2 linked regions of the Rattus norvegicus genome follow. The protein of the gene in region 1 interacts with the protein of each later gene in a pairwise test. Links are inferred from orthologs where the notes say so. Each region holds a gene or a part of one and is shown in the gene's direction. Other genes may lie near its edges.

The links.
Region 2: the proteins of Pram1 (region 1) and Skap1 interact in binary tests that used the Homo sapiens proteins (3 or more experiments, as listed by UniProt). The two-hybrid records come from large-scale screens. The link is inferred for Rattus norvegicus from reciprocal best matches to the Homo sapiens genes PRAM1 and SKAP1.

What each region holds. Positions count from the first base shown.
Region 1 is NC_086025.1:15,124,676-15,130,409, forward strand, and holds the start of Pram1 (PML-RARA-regulated adapter molecule 1), read left to right. Parts: upstream 1-1,137; 5' UTR 1,138-5,734. Other genes in the region: Zfp414 (zinc finger protein 414), read left to right, coding at 1-257. UniProt on the Homo sapiens protein: May be involved in myeloid differentiation. May be involved in integrin signaling in neutrophils. Binds to PtdIns(4)P.
Region 2 is NC_086028.1:81,918,886-81,926,535, forward strand, and holds the start of Skap1 (src kinase-associated phosphoprotein 1), read left to right. Parts: upstream 1-3,130; 5' UTR 3,131-3,228; coding exon 3,229-3,274; intron 3,275-7,650. UniProt on the Homo sapiens protein: Positively regulates T-cell receptor signaling by enhancing the MAP kinase pathway. Required for optimal conjugation between T-cells and antigen-presenting cells by promoting the clustering of integrin ITGAL on the surface of T-cells.

The sequences.
Region 1 (5,734 bases):
TTCCTTACTTGAACCCTGCACCCTTTGGCCTGAGTCCCCCGAGACTGCGCCCATTCCTGGCTGCCACTCCAGGGCCACCGACATCCAGCACTGCCATCTGGAAGAAGAGTCAAGGTGAGTATAGGAGCAGGTTGCCTACAAAGCTGATTGAGCCTACTTTTATTCTGAACTTGAACTGCTTCTTTCCTACAGGTGCTACCAGTAGTCCTAGAAGACCTCAGGGCGGCTCCGATGCGCCCTCAGGTGCGTGCAGGTGACCACCAGGGACGGGTGGAGGGGCCCTTCATTCCTGTGCCCTAAGTGGGCCCTGTGAATGCTGGAAAGCAGCGGTGACTGTCCCTTAAAATACATGATTTTTGCCTTTCAAATGACTGGTATCTATGCCTTCATCTGGTATCTGTGCCAGTGTTCCTGTGTAAACATTTGTGTCTTGTTCTGTCTCTGAGTGGTTTTCTTCTATGGTGGGTCCAGGGATGGGAGGCAAATGTGGTACCTGCTGTGATGGGTAGTCAAGCCCAGGGAAAAGTCTAATCTGTCCTGGTTGACATCTACCATCCATGGTTGAAAGGCTCTCTGGAGGGAGACCCAGGACTCAGAGGCCTGCCTGCCTGCCTGCCTGCCTGCCTGCCTGCCTGCCTGCCTGCCTGTCTGCCTGCCTGCAGGGTACATGGCCCCCAGCCACATTGTGTGCGAACACATAGATGGCTGATATTCGTGTATACAGTGTGACTTCTTCACAGTCTCTCAGTCTGCCATTATACTGCACCTGCAGGACCACCACCCTGGCTACCCCACAGCCTGAAACCTGGGTTCCTTGGTTCCAACACCCAGTTGGGTAAGGCTGAGGAATGTTCAGGCACAGGACTAGAGGCAAGGGATGAGGCACAGGCTCAGGTGACCCCTCCTCAACTCTACACAAGACCCAACCCTGTTTGCTATTGAGGTGTCACAGTGGTCAGAGGGGGAGAATCCAGTTTTATCACAGCTTTGAACCAGCTCTGCTGGGCTAAGTTGTAGGGGATACAGAGATTTTTGTAATTTGAGGAAGAAGGGGACAATAAAGGAGGCACGTTGAGCCAGTGTGTGCTGTGTCTTGGGTCCCTTGCCCCTCAGATTTTTTTTTTAATGTCTTTATTTTATTTTATTTTATTTTTTTGGTTCTTTTTTTCGGAGCTGGGGACCGAACCCAGGGCCTTGTGCTTCCTAGGCAAGCGCTCTACCACTGAGCTAAATCCCCAACCCCAAAAAGTTGTATTTATTTATTCTATATAAGTACACTGTAGCTGTCTTCAGACACACCAGAAGAGGGGAAGAGGGCATCAGATCCCATTACAGATGGTTGTGAGCCACCATGTGGTTGCTGGGAATTGAACTCAAGACCTCTGGAAGAGCAGTCAGTGCTCTTAACCGCTGAGCCATCTCTCCAGCCCATGTCTTTATTTTTTTAAGAGAGAGTGCAAGTGATATGTGTACAGAAGTGTAATGCTTGTGAAGGCCAAAAGAGGGTATAGGATCCCTAAGCATTTGTGAGCTGCCAGCGTGGGTGCTGGGAACCACACTTGCATCTTCTGTAAGAGCAATATGAGAGTGAACTTTCTGTTAGTGTCACAGTTAATCTTTTTTTTTTTTCATTTATTTCAGAGTTAACGCTTATCTGCTGAGCCCTCTTCTACAGCCCCCCCCCCCCCCCAAATAAGCACTAGGCTGCTACCTATGGGACTAGGGTGCTCACACACCTTGGGAGGGGGACTTAAAATTGGCTTCACAGAATCTGACTCTCATCAGAACTCCTATTTTCCTGGCATCTCAGCTGTGGAATCCAGATCTGCAGCTCACTGCCCACCCTAGGAGTAGTCAGTGCCCACTGTTCTGTTCTACAACTTCCAGAACCAGATAGGTTTGTTATTTTCCCAGATGGTTTTCCTTTATTAAAAACCCAGGCATAGTGACACATGCCTTTAATCCCAGCACTTGGGAGGCAGAGGTAAGTGGATCTGAGTTCATAGGCAGCCTGTTCTACAGAGCTAGTTCTAGGACAGTCAGGGCTACACAGAGAAACCCTGTCTTGAAAAATAACAAAAAAGAAATATGGGGGTTGGGGATTTAGCTCAGTGGTAGAGCACTTGCCTAGCAAGCGCAAGGCCCTGGGTTCAGTCCCCAGCTCCGGAAAAAAAAAAAAAAAAGAAATATGGCTTACCATGCTCAAGTGCTTGCCCATGCAACCCTGATGGCCTGTTTGAGTGGGGTAGAAAAAAAAGAAAATCAAGTAGCCAAAATTGTCCTTTCATATATTAAGCCCTGAGCTTAAAGCATGGTGGCACACATCTTTAATCCCAGCACTTGGCAGGCAGAGTCAGGCAGATCTCTGTAAATTCAAGGCCTGATCTAAGTGACAAGGTCCAGGCAGGACACATAGTGAACAATGTCTCAAAAAAATGAGGGGGAAAAAAGCCCCATGGTATGGTAGCACATGGCACATCCAAGCTCTTGGAAAACAGAGAAGGATCATTCTTTTTAAGTTCATACCAACTTAGACTACAAAGCAACACTGTCTCAAGAAATTTTGTTTTTAAGTATCAAGAATTAGGAAGGCAATGTGGAAATCTAGGTCTGAGTAAACCCTGCTCCTGAGGCCAGTGGGTTCACAGAGATGAAAGCCTTGGGTAGCTATAGTTGAGTTGGGTAGGTCAAGATGGAGAACTGAACTTTATCAGCATCTTCCTTGCAATCAGCAGACCTTCTGTTGCTGCTGGCATCTACCCCAACCTGTATTCTGGAGAGTTCGGGGTCCATTTGAAAATGCACTATGGATGGGGATGTAGCTCAGTATAGTACTTGCCTAGCATGCACAAAGCCTTGGGTTCTTTCTATCAACACCACATAACTAGGCTTGCTAATAAGTGCTTAAGTTCCAGAACTAGGAGGAGGTGGGTGTTAGCACTCTCTAAGTTCCACCCCTACAGTTAACCTGGCAACAGCCAGGCATGCCTGACACTATGAAAAGGGCTGCTTGCCCCTTCCTCTCTTCCTCATGCTCTCTTGTTCTTACCCCTCCCCCTTCTCTCCACGTGCTCATGGCCGTCCTCTACTCTTCCTCTACTCTTCTATTTCTCTACTTCTCTCTCTGCCCTACTACCCTCTTAATTTCCCTCCCCATGCTGGCTGGTCCCTCAGAGGGAAGGGATGTCTCAGCATGGGCCTGCTGAGGCACCCCCTTCCCCCAGACCCCCCCTAGAACATAATCCCCACCCTCTCCTTTATCTTTTATAAAACACATTGGTAGGGCTGGAGAGATGGCTTAGAGGTTAAGAGCACTGTCTGCTCTTCCAGAGGTCCTGAGTTCAATTCCCAGCAACCACATGGTGGCTCACAACCACCTATAATCAGGTCTGGTGCCCTCTTCTGGCCTGTAGTTGCATACATGCAGGCAGAAAGCTGTATGATGTATACATTAAAAAAAAAAAAAAAAAAAAAAAAAAAAAAAAAAAAACATTGGTGCTGAAACCCAGGACATATCCTTATCTTTTAATAAACACATCAGTGGGAGTGTGGACTCTGGAGGATTGGGGGTTCAAGGTCATCCTGGCTAGATATGGTATATGTCTATACCCACCACTAATCCCCCTGTCATATATATCCACAAAGAAAACATGGTGCCTTACTTCTGTTCCAGTCCAAAGCCAGGCTGGCCATGCCTCTTGGAAATAGAAGTCCAGTGTGTTGTTCTTCCATTACTTAGAGGTTGGTTCTAACCTCTGTCTAGCTAGGGTAATCCCCTCCTATCCCAAAGAGCCTTTCACTAGTGCTCCTTAGTATCCCTCATAAGTCTCTGGATAAAGACTCCTTGGGCTGGAGAGATGGTGTAGTAGGTACAAACAGGATCTGAGTTTAGATTCCCAGTACCTATTTTAACACGATACGGTAGTACATGTCTGTAACCCAGTACTGGTGGTTGGAGCAGGAGGGAGGGTTCGGGGACAGTCATTCTGGAGGCTTGATGGCCAGCCAGTCTAACCAAAACAGCGAGTTAAAGGTTCCATTGAAAGACCTTGTCTTGGGGTTGGGGATTTAGCTCAGCGGTAGAGCGCTTGCCTAGCGAGCGCAAGGCCCTGGGTTCGGTCCCCAGCTCCGAAAAAAAGAAGAAGAAGAAAAAAAAAAAACCTTGTCTCAAAGTGCCTGAGGAAGGCATTCTAATATTAACTTCTGTCTGGTCTCCACATGTGCTGGCATGGTTGCCTGTACCCCACATGCACAATACATATACAAACACAGATCCTGTTCTAGTAGCCCACAAGGCTCCTCCTTAAACTTCCCCATCTTCTTCCATGGCCATACTCTTCATACCTGCTGCTTCTGGGAAATGTAAAAATCTGGAAAAGAAAACCTCAAAGACCTCCTTGGTACCACCCATTTGTCTCACTCACCACTTCCTTGTATCCTAACTTTAAATCAGAATTACCCTCTATCACCTCTTTGTCCTAGTATCTGCAGCCAAAAGGTGACATTACTCACCTGGTAAGCTAGGTCCTCCAGAGCCTACATCTGTCACAGCCCTCCTATCTTTTTATCTTCACTGTTTGTAGGATCCAGAGAATGATTTACACAGTCATATTTGGTTTTGAATGAGTTTATTAAGCCAAAGTAAAATAATAAATAGCAAGTGATTAGTGGGGAGGGGAAGGGAGGTAAGTGATAGATACCTAGGACTTCTTGGCTGGCCAATCTAGCAAAAAGTGAGCTTCAAGTTCTGAGACCTTGTCCCAAAAAATAAGTTGGAGAAGACATTGATGGCAACTTTTAGCCCCTGCAAACATAGGCACAGACTCATGCACCCACACAAAATAAGGTAGATGTCATTATGCTAGTACTTTGGGATCTTCTGGATGAAAAGGGTTGAGTGGGGAGAGTAGGGGATTTGGAAATGTCTTCTCAGTGGTTCCTGTCCCAGAAACTTAGCATTGAGGGTCAGATACCAGGGACAACCATTTCTACCCAAAGTACCTTTTATCCTTGCTGTTTTACACACGCCCAATCTTTGCTCTTCTGGGAAGCCTTGCAATCCCTATACCCACCCCCACTCATGCTTGTGCCACCCCACTCCCTGCTCCTGAACTCCCATAATCCCCAACCTCCTTCTCTTTAAACTGAACTCCCACATAGACAATGAAGTCTTCCTATTGCCCCAGCTTTCCAGCAGAGAACACCCAAGAGTGTCAGTGAAGGAAAAGCATCTGCTGGCAGGAGCTTGCACAGCTGCTCAGAGGCAAGGTTAACTAGAACAGATGGAATTCCTGGCGATTTGTTTGCAGGGTCAGGTTTCAGGCTACCTTTTGGCAATTATGCACTAACAGTTCTGTCACCTCAAGGATGCAGAATTGCTGATATTTATTCTGGCTAAGAGAGGTGGAGAGCACCAACAACCCCAGATGGATCACAGCTCATGTGTCTGGACCGCGTTCCTGCTCCCTCCTTCAAAGAACTCCCCAATCTACCACAATAATTTAGCCCTCGATCATTTTTTTTTTTTTTCAGTTTCTTTTTTTCCGGAGTTGGGGACAGAACCCAGGGCCTTGCGCTTGCTAGGCAAGCGCTCTACCACTGAGCTAAATCCCCAACCCCTTAGCCCTCGATCATTATAGGCTTCTAGTTCAGCCCTTCAGTTTGTGTTGGTCTTGATTGCCTACTGTGTGCTTTCCTTTCAGGCCAGCACAAAGATCAGAGGACAGCTGTGGGG
Region 2 (7,650 bases), on another chromosome or scaffold:
TTGGCACCGACTTTGCACATCATCTCTCCCTTCCACATCCCTTAATGAAGTGTGCAACTCTTGTCCTCATTAAGCCCCAGCACTGTCAATAAAAGAGTCAATAAACCTGGTTGATGCGGCTGGGATGGAAAGGTTGAGATGTGGCTTCGGCACATCCACAGGGCAGACGTCAGCTCTGCCATGTGTCATGACCCAGTGTTTGGGGATCGATAGCAGGCTGAGGATAAAGCCTCAGATGCTGCCCTGCAGTCTCCTCCCAAGACCCACCAAGCCCAGCGTGGGGCAGTGCCAGCCGGCTCCGGCTTTGCTTGTGATTGTTACCGACACCATGGCGTTTTAGGTGCCAGATGTTCTTGTTTCTCCCTGATTGAGCCCTTTGGACGCCCCATGGATGAATACTAAGCGCCCACCTGGCAAGAGGACGTGCAGACAGCATCTTCAAGTAGCCCAGAGGCCAACACGGCTTCCATTCTCTGCATCTTCTGTCTGCTGACAGCATGTGAGGAGTCTCAGTGGACAGGGCATGCGTATTCTGCATGCTGTGTGGCTGGACTCCATTTCTGACTGTTCTGCTCTCTCTAGATACCCTTATCTTATCTAATTACAAGGAATTTTAGATTAATTTCACGGCCTCTGTTCCCTAGGACCTCTTATCTGCGGGGGCCTTGTATTTTTTTTTTCACCTTGTCATTCTTTTGTTGTTTGCCTTTAAGGGGTGATGGCTAGAAGGGGAAGATGTTGGGATTGGGGTGGGGGAGGGAGGAGGGGGAAGGCAGACAGATCTGGACCGCTGCCTGTGTGTGGAGACAGCTGGCTGCTTTCTTCCATGACAGCCACATGGTAGGTACCCAGCCACACAGAACAGGACCTGGGCAGGGACTCGCTGGCAACCTCTCTAGATCTCTTTGATATTTCCGACAGAGCAGTAAAGGACTCTTGACTATCACCTTTTTTTTCTTTTTTTTTTTTTTTTTTTTTTTTTTTTTTTTTTTTTTTTTGCTTTGCCTCTCTCCACCTCCTGCAAGACTCCTCCATGTCGTTTCCATGGCTACCCCCAATCAGATTTGGCTTCCTGCGAAATTGGATTTCAAAGGAGGACAGGGCTTCAAAGGAATTTGTCCATTTAACAGAATGTCATTAGGAGTGAGGCTGACTGCTGAACCGGGGTCCTCAGATGATTAAGGAGGGGCAGCACTCATGTGTGGAGGCAGGCTTCTGTCTGCAACGAGGAACCTTGATGCAACATGACAATAGCGTATTGGAAACTGCCAGTCACCAGCACACATCACCTGACTTACACCTCCCTCTACCTCCATCTCTCCCATCCCAGGCATCCACAGGGGAAGAAATGCAAGAAGTGTGTCTACCCGGTGCAGTTTCGCTTCTCCCTAGGTGGCAGGAAGCCTGGGGTTCTGCCCTTTGTCAAACAACTCCTGAGCACCTACCCTATGTGACCATGCTGACCTTAAATACGAGGGTGGGGCACTCTGGGCTCTCCTCAGAACCTAGAAACCTTCTGCCTTTTACTGAAGAAAGAGGGAGGGGCTGTCCTTTTTTATCCCCATTGCTAGAAGAGAAATGGAGGAAGTTTGTGCACTATAGAGGGAAGCTTATACCCTCCCCTTTGGAAGAACGGTTTTATGTTTACAAAAAGAAGAGAGTGTCAGACCCACATGGCCTCCATGTTTAAACATGCATGCACCCCAAGTGATTCTCAAGCAGCTTCGGTTTTATCAGGGGGACAGCAAGGTAGGGAAAAATGTCCCCGGAGGCAGCCTACACCCATCCAGAGCCTGGAAGAGGCAGCCCAAGCCCATCCCTATAGATTCACCCAGTAAGGAACAAGCAGCACCATGGAGTCGGATTCCCTGGCGACCCCTGACAGGTTCTATCCCTTCAGATCAACTTGTTGCAATTTATATGTGTGTCATGAGGTCCTGAAACCAAGACCATTCCTTCTCGGGTGTCGGGATATGATAAACGCCACTGAAACCCTTAAAAGGGAGGGCCCCTAACCTTGAGGCCACAGCTTCATGGGTTGTGTGCACGCACCTATTCCAGGAGATCCATCCGTCTGCCTTGGGCCCTTCTGAACGGCCTCTTCTCTTTGCTCTGCCTTCTTCTACATAATAAACAAATCGTTTGCCTCCCTCCTGTCATGTGCTCCGAGTCCTTCCTACCTATCCTTAGAATAGAATCCAGGAGAGAGAGAGAGAGAGAGAGAGAGAGAGAGAGAGAGAGAGAGAGAGAGAGAGAGAGAGTTGGTAGAGGTGAAGAGATGCAGAGGCCACATAATTATAGATCATTTTCCATCTACGAAGTCTTCCCACCCTTTTAAAACCCGGTCTGGTATTTAGCTCCCCTTTAAGTACCTGCGCACCCACGGGTGCTCCCATCCTTCCCTTGTGTTCATGCTCTTTCTTATTTCATCCATGCCGCTGCTCTCGGTTCTTCACGGCCCCGTTGACAAGTGGTTGACAAAAATAACAAAGGATTCCACGTACCACCGCCCAAGTTCGTGGTGTACTTACTACAACCCAAACTTGGGCACTGACTGGCTGTACTTTGAGGGGGAAAGGGTATAGCCCTGTGATCTTGTCGAGCACTTTCTTCCTTCCTGTGCTCCGAGAAAGAGCTGTTTCCCACCTTCCCACAGCCTTTCACCTCCAGAGAGGACATTCCCTCCGTCTCTCTCTGTGCATTGCATCTGATGCTGAGTCTCTCAAATGTTGAGAATCTATATTGTCGCTGGGACTCCAGATTTTAATTTTTAACCAGCAAGGCTTTCCCCGACGGTGAGCTGGATAGGACCAAGTCCTTTCTTGGATTCTGCCTCTGCCCCCCAGTTCAGGAACAACCATGGCCTTTTAAACCTACCGCCCCAAGGTCAAATTGCTCAGGGCTTAGATGTTTCCGCCAAGATTTAGCCTCTAAAGCTCTTCGGAGTCTAGCAATCTTTTGGTGCGGGGCTCAAAGGGCCACGCCTTTGACCTTGCATGCCACCTTGGTGCCATCAGTGCACCTGCGCCCCGGGTCCCGCTCCCGCCGCCCGCTGCGCGCGCCGCTTCCTGAGCGCGCGGCCGGCGGCCCCGCCCGGCGCGGGGCCCCAAGTGCAGCCGAGGTACAGGTGCCCGGGGTGCAGCTCGCCTCCTTCTGCCTGCCGCCGTCAAAACAGGCCTCGTGTCCCTTGTCCCTCCTTCTGCTGTGGCCACCCTCTCGCCGTGCCAAATGCAGGCCATCGCCCTCCCGGAGGAGATCTGTTGGCTCCTGGAAGGTAACTCCTGGCTCAGTGCCAGACCTCTGTCCTGACCCTCCCCTCTGGGAGGGCCTTTCAGTGCTGGGCTGAAGGCAAGAAAGGAGACACCAAGGCATCAGCCCTACAGCCCTATAATATAAGTTCCAGGCTCCCAGAGTCCTCAATCCTCCTCTTGTCCCCAAAGCCAGCCTATTGCCCATTGTCCCACCTCAGGGTCCCCACATCTCCCTTGAGTTACACATTTTCCGTCCCTTCTAGGCATCTATATCACTTCTAGGTTTCTGGGGTCTTGCAGGCCAGTTCATGGCCTCCCCTGACACCTTGCTTGGTCTTGAACCTGTCTCCTGGGAAATCCCTGAGGTCTGTAGCAGGTTAGTTCTTACCCTCCCCAGTCCTGACTCCTCACCTCGCGGAAGACCCACGACACACAGAAGGGATCTGTGGAGATATATGGGTCTTTGGGCCAAGCCTGGTGGTTAGAGGACTTCTTTTTTTTTTTTTTTTTTTTTTGGTTCTTTTTTTCGGAGCTGGGGACTGAACCCAGGGTCTTGTGCTTCCTAGGCAAGCGCTCTACTACTGAGCTAAATTCCCAGCCCCAGGACTTCTTATAAGTGTGGTAAGCCAAGGAGTCCTTTACTATTCTGAAGACTGGTGGGGGAGGGGGGTGCTGTCATCTATCCAAGGGAAGCCTCAGAGTATGACGTTCCTAACCTTCCTGAAGTGTCACGTTGTGATGGCTTCACCTTCAAAAAAGTCTTTTAGAGTTAAAGTCACACTTTGCAACACTTAGCATACATTCCTGATACTCCAAAGAACTTTCCTGATGGACAGTATCTTGTGCTTGGCTCACAAGGTGAAAATTCATTTTACTCCTATGACTGACCTTCCTGGAAGGACAGAGGTCTGGAATCTGCAGTTGCGTAAGGGTCTCAAGAGGAAACTGCTCAGAATTAAGCCTTTTGGCATCCAGGCGACATATCTGACACATAGTTAACAGATGGCCTGCCTTGGGCAGGTCATGATTTTGGCAAGCTGTATTCTTTCCAGTTTCTCTCCATTTAATTGGTTTCATATCTCCATTACCTTGTTATCTTGGTATAAATGCCTTCTAATCAAGGATTTGGCCAGTGCATTTGGATTCTGTCTGCGGCACTGTTTCTATTCTGGATTGCTTCTCTGTAAGAGCTGGAAGCTAGGTGTTTCTTTTGAGGTGATGTTTCAAAAAATGTATTCTTAGAAAAGCGTTTTGTTTACTTACTTTTGGAGTGTGTGGGTGTGGGGTGTGCATGGCCACAGCGGGTTTGTGGAGTTCAGATGGCAGCTGTTGAGAATTGGGTCTCATCTTCTATCCTCCAGTGATGGGGATCAAACTCAGGTCTTCAGGCTTGGTGCTAAGCACTTTTACCCACCACCGCCCTCCCTTGTGCTTAGGGGATTGAATCTAGGACCATATGCGTGATCGTTAGATGTCCTACCACTGAGCTACATTCTCTAAATTACCTAAAGTCCACTCAGTGTGTAAACCAAGGAACTGTAGAAATAACAAGTTATTTGGAAGATAGAAGTCACCAGACACCTAAAGAGATTTAACCAGCGCTAGTTTGGTAGTAGATACATAAAGGAAGGCTGTGGTTGTCTTGGGTTTTAGGGAAGGAACTGCAGCCACAAGTTGTATTTAAAGCCGGAGTATCTCTCTCTCTCTGTTGGTGTCAGTTATTTTATGAGAAGAAACCCATTTTACAAGCTTATTAAATGATACCTCAGTTTGGTGCACAGCATCGATAGAAAGCCCCTCTTCTTTTTGGAGGCTCGAGTGCGACACGATCCCTCCCCTGCTTCGATGTTTTTGACATGCAGTTCCTTATTGTTCAAAACTGACACTTTGGTAAACAACTCATTTTTGCACCTGCCACCTTCCCTTAGCTCAGATTATTTTCTTGTTAGCCGACTGTTTTTAATTGAAGTCTTCAGATCTCCTTCTAAAGCAGAACCTTTGTTTGCTGACAGGCAGAGCCGGCTATGAATGGAGATTAATTGCATGTCACATATTTCTGTATCAAACTTGCTGTGTCTTAACAATCTCTGATAGTGCTCCGGTCTTCAGAAGATATAGGGGAGTCTGAGGTTACATTGTGAGGAGCTTCGCTGGCTAATGATTTCTTTAAAGTCACCCCTCCCCTTTAAGTTTGTAATTGTGCTCTTGGATCTGAAGTGGGGGAGATGTGAAGTGGGATATAACCAACGATTCTATTGAAGAGTGATTTAAAAGTATGTTCTCGAAAGATTTGTGTGATGAGAGCAACCTATTGGTTATAGGTTTTTATTTTTAATGGAATGTGTTCTCTAGTGTAAACCAGCAAAATGATTCACTGTTACAAATTTTGAGTATTAGGAATCCAAAATGGCCGTCGGTTTGTTGTCTGTGGTTCACTGTTAAGAATTAGGAAAAACATAGGTCCTTGATCTCTGTGTAGTCGCTCGGTGGGAGGGAGTCACAGGATGTGAGAGTTGTGACTGTTGCTACCGCACAGCATGGGGCTGGAGTTTCCACAATGAATTACTGCTTTCATAAACCAAGTCATAAGCATTTGCACAGTGATTTAATGCTGGCCATCACAGCCATAACTTAAACATTTATCTATTTGTAACAATAGAAGCATAAAATGACAGGGACACTTTTTGATATAGTGTTTGTGCTTTAAAAAAATAAAATATGCACAATACTGTGCCAGGTTCATACCGAGATTTTTGCAATAATGAGGGTCTGGAATTAATTTTAAGTATAAAGATTTCAACATTTGAGGAGTCTCATTTGACATGGAAGTCCCACTTCTAGGAACATGTTATAGAAATTAAAGACCAGGAATATATATGTTTATATAAGTGTATCCCAGATGTCCATGAGGTGGGAAAAGCGGGTGATGGTCAATTGGATCATGGGATATCCATCTTAGTTTATGTAAAGAACGCAGGAGAGGGGTTGGGGATTTAGCTCAGTGGTAGAGCGCTTGCCTAGGAAGCGCAAGGCCCTGGGTTCGGTCCCCAGCTCCAAAAAAAAAGAACCAAAAAAAAAAAAAAAAAAAAAAGAACGCAGGAGATCTGTGTGTCTGTCTGACATCTGTCTATCTTGGCTTACAAAGTGTCCATGGCATGTTTTTAGGCCGAAAGAGGCAAAATACACAGTAGTACATATAATGGCCCATTTCTATTTCAAAACAAAAGGCCAAAATAAAAAAGTTCCACACACCATATAGATTTATGTAAGCCTCAGAAGTGTCCCACGCTCTCAACAGTTTCCTTTGTTTTTTTTTTTTCTTTTCTTTTTTTTTCTTTTTTTCGGAGCTGGGGACCGAACCCAGGGCCTTGCGCTCGTTAGGCAAGCGCTCTACCACTGAGCTAAATCCCCAACCCCAACAGTTTCCTTTTAAGGACAGAGAGACGTGTAGGGGTTCGTGATTTTTATTACATTTATCTTCAATTGGTTAAATTGTGCAAAGGTCATGTATTACTTCTTGAGTCAAGAAAGAATAGTCAGATAGGTTTAAAACAAAACAAAACAAAACAAAACAGACGAACGGAGGCCCAGACGTTAAAGGGCCATTAACTTCAGGAGTGATGGTTTTTCCTGCTTAGCCGTGGGAAGTTGTGTAGAAAGCTTACATCAAAACAGAGCAAACCAAAACACTGTCTCTGTTGTTATTTTAGCAAAGGGTAAGGTGAGGAGAAGCTTCTAGCATCCCAGGAAGCAGCCTCTTCCATCGGCTCTGTGAGCTCCCCACGCAGGGACAGAAAGTGGTCCCATATCAGTGAATAAGGCACGGTGTAGATAAGGAACGGAGGGCATCTTCCGATTTGCTGAAAGAACAGGAAATATTCGGGTCTGTTTTTAGGTGGTCAGGCTTCAGATGTAGACGTTTTCTTTTTGTGCCTTTGTTGATTGATAACGATGCTGAAAACAAGAACAATGGGCTGGTGGCTTGTAATCTCCGTTGCGGGACACAAACAGCCTCCTCTTCCTGGTCCTTCTAGCGCCACCCCCCTTGTGTGGGTCTCTGTCTCTAACTCTTTTTAAGTAAGAACCGAAGAGGAAAGTGTGAAGGGGGGGCAGCAGATAGATAGGAAACCTGCTGACTTCACCCTGATAGCTGAGAGATCCAGCTGCCTATCCAGGGCCCCCATGGGGCTTGGAAGGACTGAAGCCCAGTCACTGCCTGGCTCCCTAGTACCCGCCCCCTCATACCCTCCTAATGGTTGCTTACATTTAAATTTTAGCAGCTGCCCTTGGTGGTGATGCACACCTTTGATCCTAGCACTCGAGAGGCAGGGGCAGGTGGCTCTCGTGTGAGTCCAAGGCCCGCCTGAGTTCCAGGACCCGTCTCAAACAAAACAAAAAA